Macaca mulatta: one gene and its partner. Each later gene encodes a partner of the first gene's protein in a complex. Links are inferred from orthologs where the notes say so. Each region holds a gene or a part of one and is shown on either strand. Other genes may lie near its edges. The genes, in order: OS9 and UBE2J1.

Region 1 (3,157 bases):
AGCTGCAAGATTTGGGCCCCCAAGTGTGGAGTGAGACCAAGTCTGGGGTGGCACCCCAAAAGATGGCAGGTAGGACCTTGTTTCACCTGTTCCATGAAACTCGCTTCCATTTTTTCCCTTCCCCTGATCTTACTGTCCTGACTGACTGGTGGGGTGGAGTGGGAGAGTACCATGGGCCCTCATCCCTTGGTGATAGAGGAGGGGAAGGGACCCCATCCTATTTGCTCCTTTCTGTCTCACCCCTCCTGTCAGATCAATGTCTCCCTGTTCTCTGTACCCTAGGTGCGAGCCCGACCAAGGATGACAGTAAGGACTCAGATTTCTGGAAGATGCTTAATGAACCAGAGGACCAGGCCCCAGGAGGGGAGGAGATGCAGGCTGAGGTGAGACCAGCTGCCTCAGAGGAGCGGGATGGGAATGGGGAGGGTCACTGTAGCTGAGGTCATTGTGAGGTGACCTACATCTACCTAGGGATGCAAGGATATCCCCAGAACCTTTGCCTTCATAGTATGGAGGGCATGAACAGGCTTTCATACTTGACTCTTTCCTTTTCTCCTTGTCAGGAGCAGGACCCAAGCCCTGAGGCAACAGATTCAGCTCCAGGTGCTCCCAATGGTGAGTGAACCTTCCATGTCTCCTTTACCATATATATTTTAGGATTGGCAGGGATAGAGATGGAAGGGAGAGCTAAGCACTGGGAGGGAGATTGAGTAGCCAGGCCAGCAGCAAATTCATTTTTACAGGAGTTAATACTCTTTGTAGACAGCACTGCTATTTTAGCAAGGTGGCAGAACACAGTAGCTCCACCACTTGGTGACTTTGTAATTCACTTAACCTCAATTTTCTTACCCATAAAATGAGGGTAATAACCCCTACCCTAGAGAGTTGCACGGGATTAAATGAGAATGCATCCATAATTCATAGTAGAAGGCCTGGAACTGAATAAACTAAATGGTTAATATTTGTGGAAAGAGGAGAAGGGTTCCAGGGAAGATAAGTCCTTAGCCCCAGGATCTCCTCTGTAGTCCTAAAAGCTGGAGTGACTGCCAGAAAGGCCTCAGAAGTGCATGGAAGAGTGGGGACTTAGCAGCTTGTTGGCATCCATCTCTCCTACCGGAGTGTCCACCTTAGAACAGTGCTCTCTGCAGACGAATGTTTGCCCTTGTCTCACTATTTAACAGGTAAACCCTAGAGGCAGGGACCGTGTCCTTCCTTGGTCTCTCATTACCTGTCCTTAGGAATCCAAAGAGCACTTAGGAGTGCAGTAGCGCACACCTGTAATCGTAGTTACTTGGAAGGCTGATGCAGAAAGATTGCTTGAGCCCAAGAATTCAAGATCAGCTTGGGCAACATAGTAACACTCCATGTTGAAAAAGAGCCGGGTGCGATGGCTCATGCCTGTAATCCCAGCACTTTGGGAGGCTGAGGCAGGTGGATCACCTGAGGTCAAGAGTTTGAGACAAACCTGGCCAACATAGTGAAACCCCATCTCCACTAAAAATACAAAAATTAGCTGGGCGTGGTGGCAGGCGCCTGTAATCCCAGCTACTTGGGAGGCTGAGGCAGGAGAATCGCTTGAACCCGGGTGGCAGAGGTTGCAGCGAGCAGAGATTGCACCACTGCACTCTAGCTTGGGTGACAGTGCAAGACTCCGTCTCAAAAAAAAAAAAAAAAATTTAAACACAACAGAACTGGTTCATGATTATTACTCTTTCATCTCAGATTTTCAGAACAACGTGCAGGTCAAAGTCATTCGAAGCCCTGCAGATTTGATTCGATTCATAGAGGAGCTGAAAGGTGGAACAAAAAAGGTATAGGCCATGCTCAGGGAATGGGTAGAACCCACCTCCCAACTGCGAGCATTTGAAAACCTACGCTGACCTGGGACTCAACTCCTGGGTCCCCCAGTACCACACACCTGCTACTATTTGTCTGCCCCCCACCATGTGTCTCTGTTGAAACTCCAACTGTCTACCTCTTTCTCCCCACTCCCTACCCACCCAGGGGAAGCCAAATATAGGCCAAGAGCAGCCTGTGGATGATGCTGCAGAAGTCCCTCAGAGGGAACCAGAGGAGAAGGAAAGGGGTGATCCAGAACGGCAGAGAGAAATGGAAGAAGAGGAGGACGAGGATGAGGATGAGGATGAAGATGAGGATGAACAGCAGTTACTGGGAGAATTTGAGAAGGAACTGGAAGGGATCCTGCTTCCGTCAGACCGAGACCGGCTCCGTTCGGAGGTGAAGGCTGGCATGGAGCGGGAACTGGAGAACATCATCCAGGAGGCAAGCCCAGCTCCTCCTCCTGTAATTCCACAGCCGCCTGGTCCCGTGAAGCAGGACAGGCTGAGGGACTAAAAGAAACAGAGAGCACAGCACAGGGCAAGGACGGGGCACTTGGAAATGATAGCTGTTTCCCTAATTAATCGGGGCTATTGGGGAAGGGGGACCAGAGAGAGGCACAAGACTTAAATATCAGACTCTCTGGCCAGGCACAGTGGCTCACGCTGTAATCCCAGCACTTTGGGAGGCCGAGGCGAGCAGATCACCTGAGGTCAGGAGTTCAAGACCAGCCTGGCCAACATGGTGAACCCTCTCTACTAAAAATGCAAAAAACTTAGCCAGGCATGGCAATGGGCACCTGTAATCCCAGCTCCTTGGAAGGCTGAGGCAAGAGAATCTCTTGAACCCGGGAGGCGGAGGTTGCAGTGAGCCGAGATGGCACCACTGTACTCCAGCCTGGGTGATGAGCAAAACTCCATTTCAAAATATCAGACTCTCCTACACAGCCCAGCCCGCTGGCTGCCTCCACGCCCCAGACCCTTGACTCACTCTCTTCTCTTGGGTATTCCAGACCGAGAAGGAGCTGGACCCAGATGGACTGAAGAAGGAGTCAGAGCGGGATCGGGCAATGCTGGCTCTGACATCCACTCTCAACAAACTCATCAAAAGACTGGAGGAAAAACAGAGTCCAGAGCTGGTGAAGAAGCACAAGAAAAAGAGGGTTGTCCCCAAAAAACCTCCTCCATCACCCCAACCTACAGGTGAGAGCAGTCAGACAAGAAGGAGTAGCCCAGTCCGTTGTTTTCATCCCTCAGCTGGTCCTATTCCCAGAGGGGACCCTGTTCCTTCCCTTCTGAGGGTGCTTATTCTCTCCCCG
Region 2 (3,824 bases), on another chromosome or scaffold:
TGTATACTGAAAAGTACATATTAACTGTAAGATGACATTAAATATATTAATATTACCATTTTATAAATAAGCTCTTAGGTATCTATAAGGATTAATTTTTAAAGATTTGTTAAAATAACCCAAACATAGTAATTTTTTGATTATATAATTATAATAATTTGCTATTCTTTTAAGGATTAATTTCTAATTTAAACCTGTAAGTTATGAATATATAACAGAAATTTTTAATGTGTTTATTATAAAAGATTTTAGCTCAATGGAACATGAAAGCTAGATTAAGTAGCTTTCACTTATAAATTTAATTTATCACTTACATTCTCAAGACATCTCATACATTAGAAACTATACTAGCAATAATATAAAGCATTTAGTTTTTCTTGCTTGGTAATATTTCTGATATTGAGATAAAATGATCAAACTTTTTAATATTATTAATTCCTTGTGGATTATTGTTTTTGTTCAGGATAACCTTTTTGAATGGCACTTCACGGTTAGAGGGCCTCCAGACTCCGATTTTGATGGAGGAGTTTATCATGGGCGGATAGTACTGCCACCAGAGTATCCCATGAAACCACCAAGCATTATTCTCCTAACGGTAAGAATTTTGGATTTTTAGAATGCTCATGACTTAACTCTTCCTAGTAGGTGCAAAATATAGTAAGCAAATCATTTTCATTAAGAAATATTAGAACAGTATAATTTTGCTTTTGGGGGTCCAGGCCCTGGGACTACAATTTTTTTCCTCCAAAATAATTCCTAGGAAGCTGATGCATCCGAGAAGTAAAAATGATACAACTGAATGCATAAATGTCACATCATGGTTGTTAGGATTCAATGAATTAATATATGAAAAGCGCTGGGCATACACATCTGGCACTTCATAAGTACTCACTAAAGGTTAGCTAATGTTATTGTGCCTTGTAATCACATTGTCTCTTTCAACTTCCCACCTTTCTTACACTCTCTTCCTCAGTTTTCTCATCTTTACAAAGAGAATAATGATACCTACCTCACTGAGTTTATGTGGGATGAAAAGTATCAATATCTTATTGTATAGCTCTTAGAATAGAGTCTGACACAGAGTATTCAATAAGTGTTAGCATTATTATTACTATTTATATCTCAGAATTTCTCTCTTTCTCTCCAACTTTACATGTCTTTTCTTCATGTGAAGGAAAAAATTTTTTTTTTTTAGAGACACGGTCTTGCTCTGTTGCCCAGGCTGGAGCGCAGTGGCCCAACATAGCTCACTGTAGCCTCAAACTCCTGGGCTCAAGCAATCCTCCCACCTCAGCCTCCTGAGTAGCTGGGACTATAGGCACATGCCACTGTGCCCAGCTAATTAAAAAGCTTTTTGGTAGAGACATGGTCTCATTGGTCTTGAACTACTGGCCTCAGGCAATCCTCCCGTCTCAGCCTCCCAAAGTGCTAGTCACCATCATACCTGGCCAAGGAAAACTATTGATCTAATTCCTCTTCAATTGTTACGCTTTTCTTCTCTCATTTCCTTTAATTTTAACTATGTTTAATTATCCCCTAACCTTGAAAGAAGCAAAAACAAACACAAAAACCTTCCCCTGTATCTGTTACCACTTTAAGCTGTGCCTATTTTTCTCTTTGGTAACCTCCAAGGCATCCTTTCTCTAGTGTAGCCTGCTGCAGTCCACCTTCCACACATAGTGCCCTGTTGAAACATGAAACTACACCAGTCTCAGAGATTAGTTTGAGAAATCTCACTGCTTCTTCTCAGTCTTCATCCTGTTCTATCTAAGTTAAACATCTGACCCACATGGAGTAGCAAATGGTGAAACAACAGGTATTCGTCAATAAATACCAAATTAATGCTACTTTTACCTCTATTTTGTATAACAGAGAGAGCATTTGTTTAAGAGCCAGTAGGCCTAGATTCTGACTGGTGCTCTTTCCATTACACTATGGGTGGGTTACATAATGTCTTTAAAATTCAGTTTTCTCATCAGTCAAAAGGAATTTTGTGTTTGGTAATTGTAATCACACCATAAAGTACCTGACATATAGAAGCTGCTTAACAAGTATTAGCTGATACTCCTCTCTTCTTCTTTTTTTTTTTTTTTTTCTTTTCTTTTCTTGGGGACAGGGTCTCACACTGTCACCTAGGCTGGCATGCAGCAATGCAGTCATGGTTCACTGTGGCCTTGAACTCCTGGGCTCAAGGAGTCTTCCTGTCTTAGCCTCCCAAGTAGGTAGGACTAGAGGCACACGCCACCACTCCTGGCTAATTTTCTTTCTTTTTTTTTTTTCTTTTTCTGTAGACAGTGTCTCACTAGGTGGCTCAAACTGGTCTTGAACTCCTGGCCTGAAGTGATCCTCTCGCCTCAGCCTCCCAGAGTGCTGAGATTACAAGCGTGAGCCACTTCGCTGGCCAGTAAAACTTTATGTGTTAATTATTTAGATTTCAGTTGTGCAACTCAGTTTCAAAAGGTGCTGTAAAACACCTTCTAACAACAGCTTTTATTATTCAGCATCCAACAAGTATTTTTGGAGTCTATAAGGACAAAAAAATCTGTGCCCCATTAGAGGTTACATTTTTTTAAAAAATCTTTTTAAGATAATTTCTAAAATTATTATATATAAATAGTATATTTTTACTTAGAAAGTATAAACATTAAACACATGTATTTAATTTTCTAGATGTATTGTTTATTCCTCAGGCTAATGGACGATTTGAAGTGGGCAAGAAAATCTGTTTGAGCATCTCAGGACATCATCCTGAAACTTGGCAGCCTTCGTGGAGTAGTAAGTGTTAATTTATAGTGAATATAAATCTCTTATAACTTCAGTCAATTCATAGTTATGAAGTATAATACTCTCTTTTTTTTCTTTTTCCAGAATAAACCCAGTTGCTTTTACAAAGCAATTTAGATTGATATTTACTTTTTTATTTCAGTAAGGACAGCATTATTAGCCATCATTGGGTTTATGCCAACAAAAGGAGAGGGAGCCATAGGTTCTCTAGATTACACTCCTGAGGAAAGAAGAGCACTTGCCAAAAAGTAAGTTTTGCGTTTCATTCTTGTTGAGGTCTGAATGGTATTCAGGGTAATGGCTATTAGGAGGTAGGGCCTGCCTCTTACTATGTGACTTACTTTCTGAGCGACTGTAGCTACAGGATCTTATCTCAGTTTTGCTCTTTTAGAAATTCAGTTGTAATAATTTCCTTGGAGTGACCAGAATCTAAGTAATTTATTTAATGCTATCTAGTCTTAAAAAGTCGTTGATACTATTTCACTATTTTTTTTTTAATACAGTGGGAGATATATTCTCCTGGAAAACAATACCAGTCATTTGTTTCCACTTATATGGAATTACAGATGGAAAAGAACCAGAGCAATTATTTGTAGCTTTCCACAAGATTACAAACCCCTTGAGGGCCGGGAGAGAATCCACTTTATCCATCTTTGCATCTAGCTCATAGCAAGTGCTTAATAAGTGATCTGGAATAAAGCAAAAGAGATTTTCTCTATCAAGTTGTGATTGCCCAGGGGCAATCACAAACAGAGAAGTGCTGCCTTCTCTGTTTTTTTCAGGTGCAGGTGTATTTTTGTCTATATAACCAAGATCGGTCCTTCCGTTCAGAGTAGCCCCTCTTTGAGTAGCGCTGATACCTAATTTTTGATGTTGATAATTTTTCTGCTCTGGAGTCTGCTGCCTACCACCCTTCAGACATATTATGCTAATTAAATTATGGCATATTTTACCCTAGCACACCCCAGAGTAGGCCCTCCGCAGATATTTGCTAAATCAAATAGTTAGATTTTAGCATCTGGAAGATTTGGTAGACTTCT

Evidence for each region.
Region 2: OS9 (region 1) and UBE2J1 share a complex: the UniProt entries of both Homo sapiens proteins name them as parts of the HRD1 complex. The link is inferred for Macaca mulatta from reciprocal best matches to the Homo sapiens genes OS9 and UBE2J1.

The regions. Positions count from the first base shown.
Region 1 is NC_133416.1:64,895,528-64,898,684, forward strand, and holds part of OS9 (protein OS-9 precursor), read left to right. Parts: coding exon 1-69; coding exon of another isoform or gene 70-282; coding exon 283-383; intron 384-563; coding exon 564-615; intron 616-1,722; coding exon 1,723-1,811; intron 1,812-2,004; coding exon 2,005-2,283; intron 2,284-2,851; coding exon 2,852-3,041; intron 3,042-3,157. UniProt on the Homo sapiens protein: Lectin component of the HRD1 complex, which functions in endoplasmic reticulum (ER) quality control and ER-associated degradation (ERAD).
Region 2 is NC_133409.1:96,648,391-96,652,214, forward strand, and holds part of UBE2J1 (ubiquitin-conjugating enzyme E2 J1), read left to right. Parts: intron 1-463; coding exon 464-595; intron 596-2,690; coding exon 2,691-2,775; intron 2,776-2,926; coding exon 2,927-3,032; intron 3,033-3,824. UniProt on the Homo sapiens protein: Catalyzes the covalent attachment of ubiquitin to other proteins. Functions in the selective degradation of misfolded membrane proteins from the endoplasmic reticulum (ERAD) and is essential for cells to recover from ER stress.